Linked DNA regions of Notamacropus eugenii. The protein of the gene in region 1 interacts with the protein of each later gene in a biochemical or structural test. Links are inferred from orthologs where the notes say so. Each region holds a gene or a part of one and is shown on either strand. Other genes may lie near its edges.

The links. The genes of interacting proteins can lie anywhere in the genome.
Region 2: the proteins of COPA (region 1) and COPE form a complex in vitro, tested with the Homo sapiens proteins (3 studies listed by BioGRID, with this or other methods). The link is inferred for Notamacropus eugenii from reciprocal best matches to the Homo sapiens genes COPA and COPE.

Annotation. Positions count from the first base shown.
Region 1 is NC_092873.1:385,356,044-385,366,086, reverse strand, and holds the start of COPA (coatomer subunit alpha), read left to right. Parts: upstream 1-5,626; 5' UTR 5,627-5,715; coding exon 5,716-5,755; intron 5,756-8,962; coding exon 8,963-9,076; intron 9,077-9,928; coding exon 9,929-10,002; intron 10,003-10,043. Other genes in the region: NCSTN (nicastrin), read right to left, coding at 113-231, 640-763, 4,205-4,309, 5,395-5,479. UniProt on the Homo sapiens protein: The coatomer is a cytosolic protein complex that binds to dilysine motifs and reversibly associates with Golgi non-clathrin-coated vesicles, which further mediate biosynthetic protein transport from the ER, via the Golgi up to the trans Golgi network.
Region 2 is NC_092875.1:66,442,057-66,451,811, forward strand, and holds the start of COPE (coatomer subunit epsilon), read left to right. Parts: upstream 1-4,987; 5' UTR 4,988-5,078; coding exon 5,079-5,210; intron 5,211-9,755. Other genes in the region: probable ATP-dependent RNA helicase DDX49, read right to left, coding at 3,636-3,759, 4,640-4,754. UniProt on the Homo sapiens protein: The coatomer is a cytosolic protein complex that binds to dilysine motifs and reversibly associates with Golgi non-clathrin-coated vesicles, which further mediate biosynthetic protein transport from the ER, via the Golgi up to the trans Golgi network.

The DNA of each region.
Region 1 (10,043 bases):
TATTTATATGCATTCACTTTAATGATCCTCTTGGGGGGCAATAGATGACCTAGTTAATGGCATTCAAACAATAAGCCATGGGTGATGGTTCCTGGCTCTTTGGGGTTCTTACCAAACCCATCATTAGGGCATTCAACGCTGGGAGAGAAACCATCTACAGGACTGGGCTTGGCGAGAGCCACAGCAAGACCAGAGATTCGCTGAGTACCCTTCAGCTTTTCCATCAGCTTCCTAGAACAAGAAGAAATATTGGGCTAAGGGAGGAGGAAAGAAGAAAGTGTCAGGCAGTCCAACACTCTTACTTCTCTCCCCATAGGAAGGGAAAAATATCTGACTGGAGAGTTAAGTCATGTTTTTCCTCATTTAGCCCTGTTACAGGATTCCTGACTCTAACCCTAATCCCAGATTTTCCAAATTACAGATAATGCTGGTTGCTACCCCTCTACTCAAACAGTACCCAGTCAGATGACAGATCTGGTTTCAGGATCACTGAAAATGTTCTCTTTAAATCTGTACCATTTTCAAAAGAAGACAGTATGAGGAAAGTCAAGGATAGTACCCATTTTTTAAAGCTGGGAGAAAGCTCCTATTTTCCTCTGATTGCTCACCTTTTCCAGGCATATACAGCCAGAACCTTACCTGGTAAAAAGCTTGCCTTCCAGCAGTACCATATAGGGGGGGTTTGGGCCATTGGTTAGGACCCACTTCAGATCTTCCTCCTCTTCCACTACATGGATCACTCCTGTGTCCCCACTAATGGAAGCTGCAGGAACCAGATGGAAAAAATAAAGACCCTAGAATTTATTCCGTTTACCCTATTTCACTGGGCCAGTATGCAGTGAAACTCCCACATCTATAAGGAAACAGAACCACACAGGACAAAACCACAAGTTCTCATGCAGTTTCATACATTGTTAGCTTCTCTCTTCTAGAAACTAGATTGGGACCCTGAAAGAACAGCTGGACATGGAGGAAAGGTATTGCATGGGAAATAATGGCCACAGGTGACAAACACTTGGAAAAAGCTCCAAGTTTGAAATAACTTTTACAAAGATTTGAAGTACACTGTAGACAAGAGAAGACAAACTTGGACCCCATTTGGCCTGCAAAACCAAGGAGTGCTGCAAAATAGATTTAAATGTAATTGGGACATTTTTAACAAAATAAATGAAAAAACAATACAACATAGATAATGTTAATTTGTGGTTTCCTAAGTCAGTACGTAAACTATGATCTATTTCTAGTTGAGTATGACCTGTAGATCTCTCTAATTGTACTATATGTAACCTACGGGGAGAAAAAGGGATAGTGGCTATGAAAGATTAGTAACTCCTGCTTTAATGAGGCTTGGAGAAAAGAAAAATGATAGGAAACCTAGATTCTAGTCTGGGGAGCATCCCTGGTTCACTCTATGACTTTAAACAAGTTGCTTAATCTCTCTGGGCAAAAATGGCAATCGGCTGAGCTGCTCCCTAACCCTCTCCCCAGGAAGAGACAGACTGTATGAAAAAGGAACCTGCACAAGCCTTTGAGCTCCCTAGGGAAAGGAGTCCAATAAACATGGGATATTGTTATCAGTAAACCAATACTGTGCCTCACTATTTCCCCAGAGGATTATCATGTTAGCAATCCCAATTAAAGAAGGTGTAGCCTTGTTCAGAGGTGGATGAACCTGAAGAGGGAAACTTAGACCTAGCCAGATTGAAAAGGAAACAGGTTTCTAATGAGGAAATAGCCTGAGTCTTGCTCCTCCTCTTTCCAATGCTCAGCTTTGCTTATAAGATCATACATTCTACAAGGCTGTGGTAAACATAGGTAGCATGATGGATGAGTCACTGCCAAAAAGGGTTTAAAAGACAAGCACTGTCAGAACCTGGTTCCAGGAGAATGGGGTTCAAGCCCCTATACTTAAGGTTGGAACTGAAACTGCAGTTAGAGACCATAACAGATCCACTATCCCTCATTCCATGTTGGGTATATTTCCAGCAATGATCCTATAACTTAAGGGTCTGTCTAGAACTAGCTAACCCAGCCAGGAAGTAGCTACTGCAGTCATGCAACAAAACATCAACTACTTGACTAAAGACAGGACAGGCTGATAATGGGGAGATAACACACTAGTAATCCAGGGCTCTCAGAACCATTCCACCCATTTGAACAGTTCTCTTCATCATGGTGACATGGTATCCCTAACTATCCCAGATGCTTTATTTCACAGCAAATAGCTGCTGAAACCAAAATACCTATTCATTACAATCTACAAAGACTAAGCTTATCTTTATGAGTTTAAAGAAATACTCTCACTGAACCTCAAATCCTCCACTGAAAGAAAAGAAAGAAGGAATATTTCATCATTTTTTATGGAAAGAAAAGAACCCACATCTCAGAGAAGTGAAATAATTTGTTCAAGGTCACACAGTATGGTAGAAAGAGTTTCATACTAGACTCTCTGTACTAGTCTAACTTCCTATTTCAAAAGGAAATTTGATGTCCAGAAATAGGTGCTGCTGATGGAATAAAAATCAAATCATGGACCACCAACCACAGGGAGTCAATCACCCCATTCTCTCCTCTGTGATATTCTTTTATGTGAAGCTTCTTAGCACCACCTCCTGCTTCATCTCTCCTTCTGATAAGAAGAGTTTCATGATTTCATTGAATGTCATTCCCATGGATGACAACTCATTAGCATTCTCAGAGTTTCTTCATTATCAAACAATTCACTGCTTCTCAGAAGTCCACCTCAGACTCTAAGAATATCACTGTACAATAGAGAAATAGTCAAAAGATCACAGATCCTGACTTGAAAGGAAATTCAGAGACCATCTATTTACAGCATTTATCAAGTGCTAACTATGTGCCAGGTACTTTGTAAGCTCTTGAAATATAAATACAAGCAAGACCATTACTCCAATGAAGAAGCTTCCATTTTTGTCCCAAGTTATTTTACAGTTGAGGAAACTGAGGCTCAAGCAGGTTAAATGACTTGTTCAAAATCAAAAACAGAGCAAGCATCAGAGGTGGGATTTGAATCCAAGTCTTCTATTTCTGAGCCACTGCTCTTTCCACTGGACCACACTTACACACAGCAGACACGAACTGTTTTCAAAAGAAGAAATACAAGCTACTTATCACCACTTGGAAATGCAGAGGGTCATTAATAATCAGAAGAAAAGAGAAATTAGGATAATCCTCAAGTATATAACCACCAAGTGGCAAAGATGTTAAAGGAGGAGAAAACCTATCCCTGGAATAGTTACAGGAAAACAAGAAAGATAATTAACTGATAATGGAGTTATGGCTTGGTTCAACCATTCTAGAAAAGTTTGGAATCACATAAGAACTTATTAAATTGTTCATTCCCTTTGACTCAAGAGATTTAATTTGACCTACATCTCAAGGAGCTTATCAAAAGCAAAAAAAGACATATATATATATATATTTTTTTAATTTACAAGATTATTTGTAATAACAGAGAGTGAGAAACAAAATACATGCCCAACGACCATAGAACTAGGTGAATAAATTATACTCGAATTTAATGTTACTGAGCCGTAAAGAACGACAAATGTAAAGAATTTGGAGAAACGTGGGAAGACATATGAAGTAAATCAGAAGTAAAAGAAAGGTAGATATCAATATACAGATACAGAAGGGCAAAAAAGATAGATATCAATACATAGATATGGATTATCTATATAGATAATCCATATAGATATAGATTATCTCTATCTAATGACAATGTCATTAAGATCAGTATAGAGAGGTAACAAAGGACTGGTCAAAAACAATGATCATCAGCACTAGACAAAGTTAAGACAATTCTGTTTTTAAAAAAATCAATAACCTGTAGGGGGATGTACTTTGTAAAGGGGTTTGTTTAGCTATTTGTTGGGAAGGATTTGCTGTGTCAAAACAAAATGTATGGAATCAGAAGGACCTAGGTTCAAATCCAGCCTCAGATTCTAGCTGTGTGACCCTCGGCAAGTCACTTAACCTCAATTGCCTCCAAAAAAACCAACCAATCAAAAAATGTATTAGTAAATTTATTTTTTGAAAAGATCAATGTAACAGTCAGATGTAATCCCACTGATTTCCCTTCTTCCCTATTCTGACTGTGTTCTGCTACCCCCAATTAACTTGCAGTCTACCTAATACAGGCTCTGGAATTCCCGGAGCACTAAAGCACTAATTGCCAACTTACACTGGCAGCCAATCTGGTGAGTGGCATTGAGCAGGCGGACACAGGGAGCCGTTCTGTTCAAGGGGATGTAGATCTTCCTCTCCACTGAATTTGTTTGGCACAGACCTGAAGAGAAAGCAACAGGTGTAAGAAAGAAGTTTTAAAAATAAAAGGGGCATAGTTCCCTTACTCATCTTCTCAGCAAGGAGGTGGCATGAGACTGGCATATGTCAGCAGGAAAAATTCTGGGTTGGGAAACTTGGGTTCTAGTTTTAGCCGTGCCTTTAACCTATCTATCTCCTTACGTTAAGCAAATCACTCAGCCTCTCTGGGCTCAGTTTCGTGGTCTGTTAAATGAACATAATGCATATTATCTTCACTCAATATGTCCATTAGGACACAGGAAGGAGCACGCTCCTTCCACCCCTCCCCCCAAACACTAGAGAAATCCAAGTTTCTTACTAACCACGGTAGCGCAATCACACTAGTTCCCAGATAAGAGAAAATGTGGTCAAAGGAAGCCCTATGTGTGGATTACTGATTAATTGTAAAGAGTGCGAGCTCCAGAGCAGTGCCTGGATTCAAAGTCTTTCTCTGTATTCCCAAGAAATGAGGTGGAAAGGGAGGAAACCCGGTCTACACACGCCACTGTCAGACGCAGCTCTTACAAGTTCACCCACTACAGTCACGGGAGGGAGATCCTGAAGGACCAAGGCTACCACCTTGGGGCTGGGGAGGGCACGGAGGTAGCTGGAGAGAGGGAGCCCCCCCCCCCCCACACGAGAGGCACAGGAAAAGCAAACCCCAGCTGCAGCCCCGCCCCCCGCCCCCCAAAGCTTCAGGGCCAGGGAAACTTCTCCTCGTAGCTCGGAAGAGCCAAAGCGGCCAAGAGTCCGTCTCCGTCTGTTTGGCAGAGAGGAGAAACTGAGGTACAGGGATGGGAACGAGCCTGATCCCAGACTCCCACCGCCCGGGGGCCTCCAAGAAGCCCAGCGGGAAGGCGGGGGCCTCGGACAGCAGCTCCTCCGGGCTGGGGGCAGAACGGGGGCTTTAAATCCTCGAGAAGCGCGGAACTTGTGTCGGGGGAACGCCGAGTAGGGGGGTTTGCGAATCGGCGGGACGGAGGACCCAAGGGCGCCTGGGCGGTTTCGGAGTAAAGGAAGTTCTCGCAAAGAGGCCCTCGCGGCTCCGGGGGGGTGGGGAGGGCTCACCTGCCAGCAAAGGAACGAAGCAAAAGAGGAGGCAGGTTCGCCGGCCCCCAGAGGCGGCTCCTCCGCCGCCCCCAGCAGTGGCCATCTTGCCTCTCCGGGCCGCTTCCGCCTCCTGCCCCCTCCAGCCTGACAGAGGCCTCTCTAGGCCGCTCCCCTGCCAGTCTCTGTGGCCTTCAGGCGGAAGTGCGTTAGGCGTAGGGCGCTTCCGGCTGCGGCTGCGGCTGCGGGGCGGTGCTGACGTGGAGGGGACCCGGGCCAGTCGGGCTGCGCTTCGGGCCGCGGCCGGAACCGAAGCCGGGGCCTGGACTAGGGCGGACAAAGATGCTGACCAAATTCGAGACCAAGAGTGCGCGAGTCAAAGGTGGGGAGGAAGGGGAAGCCGAGGGACCCGGGGTGTGGCGCCTGAGGGAGTGCCTTCGCCCTGGGGGGGTGGGGGGAGGGGAGGAAAAGCGATCCGAAATCTGGGGCCTGAGGGGATCGGGTCGGAGCCTGCCTGGAAGGAGAGGGACTTTGGTGATCCCTGGGTTTTCCCCCCATTCGCTCTTTCAGATCTGACCCCTTTTATTACGTTTCCCCGTCTTTCTCCCCTCCCCCATTCCCGGGTACCTTCGCTATCCAGAACGCCTTCCCCGACACAAATGTATGGGGTGAGGGGGGAAATTCGTATTTCTTACTTATTTAACTGTGATCACGTCCCAGTGTACTGGAAGGTAAGCTCCTCAAGTGCACAGACTGCCGTATAATGTTTTTTCTATACCCCCATGCCCAGCACTATCCCATAATAGATAGGCCCTTCTTGCAACCTCAGTAGGTTGGTTCATTGATAGACCTATCTATGTACCTTCCCCAGACCCCTCACTCCCCACCATCCCCAATCACCTTGGGTACACACACAGTCCCATTCCCCTCCCTAGTCTTTCCTGGGCTGTGAATGAGGGTTGTCATTGTTTTATCCTTTTGATTTCTCTGAAAAGGTGAAAGGATGGACAGGATAATGTTGCTAAGGGTTTACCAGCTCCTGGTCTTTCTCTAGCTGTCAAGGCTCTATTTAATGTATCAAAATTAAGTATTATGGGTATAGTTCTTGGGTTCTGAATTCTGATCCTGTTCCCACCTACCTGTTTCTGTTAGGTAACTTTTGCGAGAAAAGGACTAATTACTTCTACTTTAGAAGCTGCAATATTCCCATCCCATTGATTTTCATCAATTTCTTCTGTCGCCAGACTATCTTGTTCCTCTACCTTGTAGAGGCAGTTGATGGTGCAATAGATAGAGCCCTGGGACTGAAATCAGAAAAGACCTGAGTTCAAATTTGACCTCAGACACTTGCTAGCTGTGTTACTCTGGGCAAGTCATTCAACCTCTGATTGCCTCAGTTTTCTCATCTGCATAATAGCGACAACAGTAACACCTCAAAGGGTTGTGGTAAGGATCAAATGAGATAATATTTGTAAAAAGCACTTAGCACAGTGCCTGGCATGTAGTTGGCACTATATAAATGCTTATTCCTTTCCCTCACCTCTCCTCACCTCCTTTATGTCTGTACTCTAAAACCTGAAGGTTTTTGACTGACCAGGTGAGGAGATGAGAAGAGAAGGGTATGCTTCCCAGGACTCTGTCAGGGATTTCTCAATAAAATCTGAAGAGGAAGGAAAAGGTAGGGGAGTAAACTCTATAAGGATACTAAAAGTCAAATCCCATCTTTTAGGTTTAGTAAGCAGTGGAATTATAAAGGGTCATTCCGAGTTTATCAGGTTCTTATGAAGATCTTGATTATCATAACGTACATTTAAGGTTTTTCTATGACCTTAAGTGACAAGGAGTTAGTAGTTTGAACAAATAACTGTTACAAGAACTTTTGTAGCATTAGTACAGAAGCCCTTGGTTACAATTATGACTTCTAGAGAAGGAATTGTAGGTAGAAATCCCATGTCCAAAGTGTTCAACTGTTACATATGACCATAAGCAAGCCATCTGTTCCCCAAAAGCCTTAGTTTCTGAATAAATGAGAATTAAAATATAGCTAAATTTTGACTTCTCTGAAGAAAGGTGGAATAAAGAGAGATAATAGCTAATCGCTTATCCTCTCCCATCTATTACAATACATTCTGTACTCTAGACTTGCTGTTCTTGGTACATAGTGTTGTATCTCTCGTCTCTGTATCTTTTGTTGGCTCTCCCCTTGACTAGAATTTTTCATTCTCCTCACTTCCATTAATGGAACCCATGGCTCCCTTCAAGGTTCAGCTCAGATAACCATTCGTTCAATAAATCTTTCCTGATTCCCCTATTCTAAGTATCTGCTCCCTCCCCTCCATCACTTTGTATTTATTTTGTGTATATGCTGTAGTTACTTCTCTGTCAATATATTGCTTCCCCTATTAAAATGAAAGTTTCTTGAGGACAAGGATTGTCTTATTTTATATTTATATCCCCAGTACTTAGGATAGTGCAAGCACTTGATAAATGCTTATTGGTGTATTGATTACGGGATGTATCACACAAGAAACATTAGTCTGTCAGTAACTTTCAAACCTTTTCATAATGCAACTACATTATAAAAGATGTAACTTATATTTCCTTAAAAATTCCTCACAAGTATGTCAAATGAGTTCAAATTGACATCACTATCCAAAAAAGTATTAACAGTCTGGAATATTGGACTGAAATCTATCATAACTAACTTGTATAAGAAAAATATAAAGTCCATTACTTCAGTTCAAAAAATCACCATTACAAGTTAAAGATGGAGAAAAAGCATGGCTAGTCAACAGTTCTCCTAATTAAGATCTTGAGTGTTTAATGAATTGCAAACTCAGTGTGAGTTAATGGTGTGATATTGTGGCTTAAAAACTATTGGTATTTTAGGCAACGTTTAGAGATATAATATACAGAACAAAGGTGATAATCCTGCTGTGCCATGACATGCTTGGATCACATCTAGAGGTATTCTTTTTTTGGACACTACATTTTAAGAAGGACATTTATAAGCTGTACATCATCCAGAGGAGATGAAGGACTTCACGATGACCAGTTGCAAGAACTGAGGACTTCTGAAGAAGAGAAGATTTAGGGAGGGCTCAATAACTACTTCAAATATCTTAATAGCTGTGTCTTTGATCTCACACGACAAAACTAGAATCAACAGGTAGATATTTCAGAGAGGCAAACTGACTTGACATAAGGAAACATTTCAAAACAATTAGAGGTAACAAAAAGTGAAATGAGTTGCCTTAGAAATGGATTTCCCATCCCTAGAGGTCTTCAAGGCTGAATGATCACTTGGGGCTATTATAGAAGTGATTCTAGGTGAAGTAGGTGTTGGATTAGATGACCTCTGAGGTACATTCCAAATTTGAAATTCTAGGATTCTGAGATGCATTGATTTCTTTCTATAAGGAATTTAGAGGTTTCATTTTCTGAGTGAGAAGAGGTTCTCTTCATCTGATTGGCCAGAGTAAGTTAACATGAAATTTGAAGATCAAATGACTTCTTTTCGTGTCTGAATTGTTAGGAGCTTGAGGCATTGAGCCTGTCTCATTGTGGTTCGCTATATCATTCTTCCCAGGACTCAGCTTTCACCCCAAACGACCCTGGATCTTGACTAGTCTTCACAATGGAGTCATCCAACTGTGGGATTACCGAATGTGTACCCTCATTGACAAATTTGATGAGCATGATGGTAAGAGAATGAGTTCCAGAGGAGGTGGTTTTAATCTGGAGTCCATAGACCTTTTTAAGAAAATATTTCAATATGTGTATTTTAATGTAATTCATTTCCTTTGTAATCCTGTGGATCTGATTTCATTCCTTTAAAAATGACACTGAGAGGGGTTAATAGGTTTCACCAGACTGCAAAAAGAGTCCAGGACACAAAAAAGATTACATATAAGAATGATTGTAGCATCCAACTTCGAAATTTCAGTGGATCTGTGACTTCTTTACTTTGGGTAATTTGAGAGGCACCATGGTATAACAGAAAAAGAACTGGACTTGGAGTCACAGGTAAAACCTGTCTTCAGATGTTACCTATGGCACTATTTATCTGTGTGATGGTAGGCAAGTCATTTAACCCTGAACCTTAATTTTCCCATCTAAAAATGGGGAAAATGTACCTAATCTACCTTGCAGACTTGTTGTGATCAAATGAAATAATGTAAGTGAATTACTTTAAAATCTTAAAGTATTATTTAAATGTCAGTTCTCATTATTGTCACTCCATCTACCAGCATAAATCTGGGCCCATCTTAACCCTCTTAACCTTTATAATTCTTGACCATGTTTTCCTGTAAAGTCTGTAGAGAATCTTTCCAATGCATTAGAGGCCTTCCTCTGGTTCATTTACTCCAGTGTAGTACTTGTGACTGTCTGTCTGTTGTCACTCATAATCAAAAAATCACTTGAATTTAAATTCTTTGGGATTAAATAGGATTGGAAAAAGGTAATGGTTTAGATGGGACTATGTATTAATGAATAGGGATTTCCCTGGAGGGTAGATATTTGTAACTCCTTTAACATATTTTCACTTTACTAGGTCCTGTACGAGGCATTGACTTCCACAAACAGCAGCCACTGTTCGTCTCTGGAGGAGATGATTATAAGATCAAGGTAGAGAGAACATGATCTGAGGAAAATCAACAGAATATGGG
Region 2 (9,755 bases), on another chromosome or scaffold:
TTCTCAGGATTCAGAGTCCCAATGGCTTCTTAGGACCTTTGGATCAAGACAAACTCCTCCGTTTTACAGTGAAGGTTCTTTTATATCTTGGTTTCCAACTACCTTTCCAGTCTGAAGACACTGCAGTTTAGCCAAACTGGCTTTCCCACCATTCCTCGAATTAAAAACTCCCCTCTCTCTCTAGGCTTGTGCACAGGCAGTCTCCCATGTCTTATCCATTTCCAATTTCCTTCAAAACTCAGCTCAAGAGCTCCCGCCTACATCAGGCCTTTGCTGACCCCAGCATCTGCTTATGCCTCTCCTTCTCCAACAACCACCAAAAAAATGGAATCTTGTTTTCGTTTTGTATGCATTGATTGATATGCATATGGTTTCTCCAGTTCTCATTCTCAGAGACTGTGAGCTCGCTGAGGGCAGGGAATGTTTAATTTTTGTCTTTCTTACCTCTATGCCTAGAACATACAGAAAGGGTTTATTCAATGTTTGTTGATAGACTGATACCAATGCACAAGTAAATATACATTAAATACCATCACACAAATGATCTCTCCAAAGTTACCAATGGGCCTCTTACTTGCCAAATTCGATGTTTGCAGTCCTCATTCTTCTCAAACTATCTGCTGTATCTAACATGACCTCCCTTTTCTCCTGGATATTCCCTCCTGGTTTTCCTCACACCTGTTAATCATTCCTCTGTCTCCTTAGGGGGCTCCTCATCCATATCACACCCTCTAACTATAAGAGTTCCCTAAAATTCCATAACAGGAAAACAGATTTAAAGCTGAAAGGGACCTCAGGAGCTATCCAGTCCAACCCCCTCCATTGGCAGATGAGGAAGGCTACAAAACTTACCCAAGGTCATGAATGGTCATGAACATGAGAAGTGGGATTTGAATCTGGCTTAGGCCCATTCCTACTCTCAGTAGCTAGGTGATGCCGGGCCTAGAATCAGTAAGAGTGAGTTCAAGTCAGTCTCATATGTCTAATAGCAGTGTGTCCCTGGATAAGTCATTTAACCTCTGCTTACTTCAGTTTTCTTAATCATAAAATGGGGATGATAATAGCCCCTACCTCCCAGGGAGACATCTGTAAAGCACTCAGCACAAAGCCTGGCACACTGTAGGCACTTACAAATGCTTGTCTGCCTCCTCCCTTGGTGGCTTCAACTCTCATGGGTTCACCTGTCACTCCATGCTTCAGTTTTGTATCACCACCTGCCTATTTCAGCCTGGACATCGTAAAGACATCTCAAACACAACATGTCCAAAACAAGACTCCTATTTCCCCTCCAAAGCTTTCCCATTTCTGTCAAAGGCACCATCATTCTTCCTGTCTTCTAGGTTCATAATCTCAGTGCTTTCTCTGACTACTCATTCTCCCTGACCTCACAGATCCAATTAGTTGCCAAATCTTCTGTGTCTGCCTCCACAATGTTCCTCTCCTCTCTACTCGCACAGCTACGACCTTCATTCAGGCCCTCCTCACCTCATGCCTGTGTTATTGCCTAAAAACTAATGGTCTGCTAACTGGTCTCCCTGCCTCAAGCCTCTCCTCATTTTAATCCATGCTACACACTGGCTAAGTGCATATCTGACCACATCTCCCTCCTCCTCTCAATCAACTACAATAGCTTCCTATGCTTTTGGAATAAAATAAACGCCTTCTTTAAAGTCACTTTTTACGCCCTTCACAATCTTGCCCTAGTCTTTCCATCCTCACCAGGTGTGACTCTCCCTCCCAAACTCTACAGCAGCCACACCGCTTTTCTGTTGCTTACACATGAAACTCAATGTCCTGTCGCCTGTGCCTGAAACGCAATCCCCTACATCTTCACTTCAGAGATGTCCTCTCTTGCATCAAGACAGTTCAAGTGCCACCTTCTACATGAAGCCTTTCCTACCCTACACAACTGACAGAAGCCTCCCTGGCAAACTGCCTTGTAAAGAATAAGTCTACATCTATCTTCTTTATATTCTGCATTACCTTAGCTCTTTATGAAGCAGAGCTTATTTTAACCACTGTATTTTTTTATCCCTAGAACAGTGCTTGGCACACAGTAGACACTTAATGTTTAGTTGGCTTTTCAGCTGTGTCCGACTCTCTGTGACCCCATTTGGAATTTTCTTGGCAAAGATAGTAGAGTAGTTTGCCATTTCCTTCTCCAGCTCATTTTAATAGTTTAAGTGACTTGCTCAGGGTCACACAGCTAGTAGGTGTCTGAGACTGGATTTGAACTTGGGAAGATGAGTCTTACTGACTCCAGGCCTGGCACTCTATCTACTGAGCCACCTAGCTGCCCCATTTATTTAAGAAATATCTATTAACTAATTAATACATAACGTAACACTAAGTTCCATCAAGAGAGAGAGTTCTAATAATGGAGGGAAAAGAAAGCCCTTGTTTCAGAAGTGATGTCTGAGCTATGTCTAGGGATTCTGTGAGGAGAAAGGGGAGAGAGGGAGTATGTTCCAGAAATGAAGAACTGCTTGTGTAAAAGTACAGAGGGGTTTAAGGAACAGCCAACACGGCAGTCTGAGTAAAGCAGAGAGCAGATGAAGGAGGCTGCCTTCCTTAATCTGGCACCTACCACCCTCTCTAGTCCTATCTCAATTTACTCCCCTCAATGAAACCTCTGCCAGAGCCAAAATGAACAATTCTTTGCCCTCCAAACACACATCACAGTTTCAACCCTCCCTGTCTTTACTTCAGTTGCTTCCTATCCCTATGCCTGTTCTCCCTTTGTCTGCTAATTTCTTACCCATCCTTTAAAGCTCACCTCAAATACAACATCCTCCAGGAAACTGTTCCTGATAGCCACTCTACTCAATTGTTAACAACCTTACACCCATCAGAACTCATACAGCCCAGTCATATATACTGTGTGTTATAGTTATCTGTGCACATGTCTCCTCCCCTAGCTAGAATATAAAATCCAGTAAGTCGATAAGCATTTATTAAGTGCCTACTCTGTGCCAGGCACAAGAGATACAAAGAAAGACAAAAAACCGTTCCTGCCCTCAGGGAGCGCAGTCTCATGGGGGAGGCAACATGCCCACAACGATGTACAAACAGAATACAGACTGTATAAAGCAGAGATGATCAATTGGGGGAAGACATTAGAGCAGAGATAATCTAATACTGCATCTCCTCCAGTCCTAGAACAGTGCAAATATTTGCTGCATTGTATAGCTCTATTGCAGGGCAGCTAGGGGTACAGTGGGTATAGAGCACTGGGCATGGAGTCAGGAGGATCTGAATTCAAATCTAGCCTCCAACACAGTTACTGGTTGTATGATCCTGAGCAAGTCACTTAACCTTGTTTGTTTCAGTTTCCTCCTCTGTAAAATGAGCTGGAGAAGGAAGTGGCAAACCACTCCAGCACCTTTGTCAAGAAAACCCCAATGAGGTCATGGAGAGTCAGATACACCTGAAATGACTGAACAACTGTAGTCTTGTCTGACCTCAGACAGCTAAAAGGTGCTAGATCTAGATCTGGATCCCATTTCTCCAAGGCTTTTTCCCCATCGTGCATGATACCCTTTGTTACAATACTCACAGTGGACGTATGGAAAAAGAGTAACAGATTTTAATTTACAGTAAATGTTACCTCACTGGAAAGGTGAACATGGCCATACCTGGTGGGCGTTAGCACAAGACAGAAAATGCCATACGGGTCTTCAGACAACTTCTGCAGAATTGGCAGCACAAAGGCAGCAGTCTTGCCGCTGCCAGTCTTTGCACATGCCATGCAGTCTCGACCTAAGACAACAAAAACAACAATAATTGTGACCTTTTGCACACAGGGCACTTTACCAAGTGATTTTTAAATACTTTTTCTAATTTTGTCCCTGTGAGGTAGTGCAAGTGTTATTCGCCCCACCTTCCAGAGGGGAAATAACTTTTCCAGGGCACCCCAGGAAGTCTGCAGCGCAGGCAGACATCCCACAGGACAGAAGCCAGGTGGGTCTCCTGATTGTCGCTCCAGGACTCTTTGCAGGACCAGCTGCTGCCTCGGATAAAAGAGGCCTGGAGAAACCTAAAGCCCATGAGGGAAGAGGGGAAGGAATCAGGAGGTGGGAAAGAGACGCTTTCTAGAGCAAAAGGAGGGAAAGCACTCGGCACAAGGAAGAATCCACAGGGTACCTAGAAGGATAAAGGGCAAGAACTGTGGGGGGGGCAAAGGAGGCAGCAGGGAAGGAGGAAGGTAAATGGGCGGGGGAGGCTGGAGAACTGAGGGTTTAAATGAAATCACCGGGGGAAGCGCTATATAAACGTCAGATTATTATTACAGGGAGCAGGGGAGATGGCAGAGAAAGAGCACGGAAGCTGACGCACGCTGGAGGTGGAAGAAACTGGGGAATGAAAGGGAGGTAGGAGGAGAGGGGATGGAAGAAGGGAGAGCCGAGAGAAAGGAAGCGAGGAGGATGGTAAGAGGTAACAATTCTAGCGCCCTGTAGTCTCATTTTATCCATCCAACAACCCCGAGAGTAAGCGCTGTTATGAATCGACGTTTTACAGATGGGGAAACTGAGGCAGGGGAGGAAAACGACTTGCTCAGAGGCAGATTCGCTGGGAGTGGGGCGTGGAGGCGGGGTCTTCTCATCGATCGCCACGGTGGGGGCGGGGGGGGGCAGCTCACCCTCCAGGATGGCGGGGATGCAGTTCTGCTGCACCGGCGTGGGACGCTTCAGGCCCAGCTGTTTACACTGCGCCACGAGCCACGACGCCAGCCCCAGCTCCGCGAACGCGGCCATGGCTCCCCCGGCTCCGCGGCGGCGGGCTGGTCCTCCCCTGCTGCTCCTGCTCCTTCTCCTCCTCCTGCTCCTCTCCCACAGGTACCCACGCCTGCTGCACCCCAGCACCACAGCGGCCCCCGAAGAGCTCCCCGCGCGCCGGTCCTGCCGCAGTTCCGGAGCGTCACCACGTCCCCGCCCAGACACGCCTCCCTCCTTCCTCCCCCCTCCCCAGCCCCGCCCCTTCTAGTTCCGCTCAAGGCCAGAACTACGATTCCCAGAGGGCCGTGCGGGCGCCGGCTTGCGTCACTTCCTCCTCGTCTCTGTCGACGTGTCGGTAACAAGATGGCCCCTCCGGCTCCCGGTACCGGCCCGGCCCCCGGCGGCCCAGGGGAAGTGGACGAGCTGTTCGACGTGAAGAACGCCTTCTACATCGGCAGCTACCAGCAGTGCATCAACGAGGCGCAGCGCGTCAAGGTGCGTGCAGCGGGCCGGGACGGAGGGCAGGGCGGGAGGTCCGGGGTCCGCGGCGCCTTCCTCCTTCCTCGGCCCCGGCCTAGACCGTGGTCAGGGCCGGGCCCGGGGATTCCTAGCCTAGCCCAGCCTAGCCTAGCCCAGCCCAGCCGCCAGGGCCCTTTAGGAGGGATCTCGTCCAAATCCTCGCGCCCCATTTTGCCGACGGGCAAACTGAGGCCCAGAGGGCGCGGACGGCCGATACAGCGAATTCCTTCAATTCAGCGAATGTTCATGTAGCGCCTCCTACGTGCTGAGCCCTGGGGAGACCCACGACGATGGGACCTGCAGACAGGGTCCTAGGTGCCCAGGCCAACCCCTTCGTTTTACAGGTGGAAGAAACTGAGGCTTCAGAGCCGCTAACGATTTGCGCGAGGTCAGCAGGTAGTAAATAGGAAACGGAGATTCACAGCCAGGACCCCGGACTCCAAATCCAGCCTTCTTCTGGGGGGCGGGGGCAACACACTAAAACTTTGAAATGTTCACCCGGGCCAAGAAAAGGCAGAGACGAAGTGCTCTAGGTAAAGGAGACCTCGAGAGATTGTCCAGCCCCGCTTGTACCTGAATGGTCAAGAATCTCCTCCCGCCCCCAAATTTTATTTAACAAGGGGACATCTGGCCTGCACAGGGAGATCTCTAGTGATGGGCACCTCACTACCCGCCGAGGAAAACAACTCCACCCTTGGACGGTTCTCATTGCTAAGAAGCCGTCCCTCCTCCCAGTTAATGGTCTTTCCGCAAGCCTCTCTAGGGAAGCCTGGTTAAGACTAGCTATAGATAGTCAAGCTTCATTAACCTCATCTGGGACTGTTAAAGAACCTGAGTGGGCTGCCTCAGTAGCTAGGATGGGAGGTGTGGTCAAAAGACAGAGTAGAAATTTTCTGGTAGGGCTCCAAACTTAGATGAGTGTAAACTTGCTGAAAGAGACCTCTAGGTCCAAGGCTGAACCTTGGAGTTTTCTGTCTTCCCCCCACTCAAGGCTTTCTCTCCTCCTGAGAGGGGAGGTGGAAGGGCAACTATGTATTTCCCTACCCAAAGTAAACGGGACCTTTAAATAGCTAAATTGTCTACCTTGGACAGCTCTTTGATCTCAACTGGGTGGAGCCTACCATGAGAGGGGTGTCAGGTAGGAAGTGGTCATTTTTATCCATTAAATGGTAAGTTTTACAGATGATTAAGAAAAAGTTGCCTTGGACTAGTTTTTGGGAAAACCTAAGCTTGGTGCCCTCCAAAATCCAGGCTCCAGTAAGGTATCTTCATAAGGCAAACTTGTAAGTATCAGGTCCCCAGCCCTGTTTTCAATTTAGGATTTTCTACAGGTTTGTCATTTGAACATTTACCAAATTCTTCCCAAAGGTGGCAGGTAGAAAGAAATAGTTTCAAAGGAGCCCAATAGCAAAGGTAATGATTTACATGTTCAGAACACTCTACAGTTTAAAAAAGGGGGAAGGAAAGAACCTTCACATACATTTTGATTTGATTCTCGTAGGAGCCCTGTGAGGTAGGTAGCAGAAACATTATCCTCATCTTTGAGAATAAGTTCTGGGAGGTCAAAGACTATTTCATTTTTGACTTTTTATCTCTAGGATGGTGCCTTACATTCTGAGTTGAATGAAGAAATAGAGGCTTCATCCACTTTTTCTGTAGGAAATCCTATAGAAGTCATGGAACTTGAGAGTTGGAAAAGGCCTCATTGTCCAACCTATATATGAATGGAATCTCCCCAATGACATGCCTGAGAGGCAGTGATCCAGCCTCCAAGTAGAGGGGGAATCCTCCCCTGCTCCAGGCAGTCCATTCTGCTTTCTGAGAGCTGTCATTGTGAGAATGTTTTTCTGACCTCAGTCCCAAATTTGCTTCTCCAGAATTCCAGCCCATTGCTCCTAGTTCTACCCTCTGATGCCAGCTAGAACAACGCTCGTCCTGCCTTCACGTGACAGGCTTTTATGTACTTAATGATCTGAATCTTCTCTTCTTTGGGCTAAACATGCCCTAGTTCCTTCTCTCTGCAGACTTCCCTGTGGAATCTCAGTTAAGACTGACTGTGGGACATCCCTATGATGTCCTCAGAGTCCGTGACATGGATCCAAGGCTCTACACCATCCTGGTTGCCCCCTAATTGGATATAGTACTCCAGATGAAGTCTGATGAGATCAAAACTATGCCCCTCTTAAGGCAGCCCAGATTATCCTGGCTTCTTTTGGCTTCCACAGCACACTGCTAGCTCCTGTAGAGCTAGTGATCCACTTAAACACCCAGATCTTTTTCAGATCAGCTGCTTTTTCTCTGTGCTTCCCCATCTTATGTTCATGAAGCTGAATTTTTGTGCCCACATGCAGGTTTCCCATTTGTTTCAGTGAATCTTATTAGATTCAGCTCAGTGCTCCAGCCTGTTGAAATCCTTTTGAATCCTACTTGTCATCGGAAGTGCCAGCTTCTTCCAAGCTGGGTGTCATTTGCAGACTGGATGAACCTGCCACTTAGTCATTTATCCACACCATTGATCATTGATAAGACTCAGGGCTCCTTCTGCCGTGCTGACGCAGAATCACTGGCAGCCCCTGCTGAATCCATTTAATGTGTTATTTTCAATGCATAGCTTTTCCACAAAAGTGGTAAGAGAAATTTTATCAAAAGCTTTGCTAAAATCTGCATAAACTCTATCCGTTGCCTTTCCCTTATTCACTAGAGACCCTGTCAGAAAGGAAAGTGGGATTAATCCCACGTTAATCAAAGCCGTGCTGGCTCTTTGTAATCCCTACTTCCTTTTCTAAATAAATGTTTGCCAGCTAGCTCTATAATGATCATTTCTAGGGTTTTCTCAGGAATTGAGGTCAGGCTCACTCTTCTAGTTTGCAGGCTTTGGTCTGTTCTCTTTCTTACAACTTGGGACAACCAGCATTTTCTATTCTCCCATTCCCTCTCCATGCTCAGCCATGGCAGACAGTGCCCGCTCTTTGAGGACCAGAGGGTGTGGCTCTTCTGGGCTGGGTGCCTTGGGTTCGCTCTCATTTACTCCTTACTGATCTGCTTTTTGGTCGTTTATGTTCAGTCATTTCTTCTTAGCAGAAGAAAGCAAAAAAGAGCAGTTGAGCACCCCATGCTCTCCAAGTGATCATTTCCTCGATTCCCTTGCCATTCTTGGGTCATTCTGAACTTTAACATTGTTACAGAACTCACCTATGCTCTCATTCTCATCCTCATTACTTGGCTTTGCTCCCATTTTTTCTTCTTTTATTGTAGAAGCTAAGTTGGTTGGTGAGTTCCCTATGTATCCACATTGGTTTCTTCAGACAAATGCCATTTTTCCTCCTCAATGAAGTTGTTTCCCTTCGTTTAGTGTCTTCAGGATTTCATTCATGAGCATCTCCCTTCTCTCCTGAGCCCACTTCCCTGAGATCCTATTCATCTCTCCTCTGAGATCTTTGAAATCTGCTTTCCTAAAATTGAGGGTAACTCCATGTCAGATGGTGCTCAAATTTCCTCTCCTCCATCACAAACTCTAGGATGGGGTGGTCCCTTTCCTGTAAGGTTCCCATCCTTTCCATCCCAGCAACTCGTGCCTCCTTATTAATGAGTATCAGAACTAGAACAGAATTTCCCCTTTGGTTTTGAAGAATGAAATTGTCATTAAGGCAAATCAACAGATGAGTCAAGGAGCTGGGACATGAGTTGAGCATTTAAGGAAGCTAAGGACTGTAAGAGGCAAAGATCAGGAGGCAGGCAGCACATTGAAGGTCTGAGAGGCAGACTGAGGAGGCCAGAGGTGGGATGCCTGGAGGTCTGGCTGGAACATAGTGTTGGAAACTTGAAGGGGAGTTCTATTCAGTAAGGCTGGAAAGGAAGGCCAGTGCCAGCTGGGGAAGGGCTTTAAATGCCAGGCTGATGAGGTTGTATTTTATCTTGGAGCCCCACACCCCCATATTTCCCTCCCCAGAGTTTGGTCTCTTGGCCTTTGGGGTTTGTCTTTAATCAGCTTTAAAAAGCAAACAGATCACATCTCAGAAATTCGTTGGTAAATCAGTCTGGGGCTTGGATTACATTTTCCCATAGAAGCTATTAATGCATTGTGGTTGCCTCCTCCAGGTGGAGAACCCTATTCCAGCCTTCTCACTTTACACAGGAAGATACTAAGACACAGAGAAGGGAAAAGACCTGTCTAGGTTTGAGCCAGACCACTGCACTTCAGTAATCCTAGAAAATCCAAAGTCAGCAGATGAACCTATTTCATGAATGGAACCAACTTTTCCTTAAGTTCCAGACCCTGATTCTGACTATGGCAGACAGGAATTGGTGCTTGCCACAATCTCATCACTTGCTCCCTGTGCAAGACATCCTGGTCATGGGGAGATACATTCAAAAATTCTGCTTCCCAGTCACCCTCAAGAACTACCCCTGGCTCCCATGTCCTAACATCCAGTCAACTGCTGAGTCTTATTGATTCTCCCCCGTGGGATCTGGAGTCTGTCACTCTCATTCTTCATTCATTGCCATTCCCTTGTTAAGGCC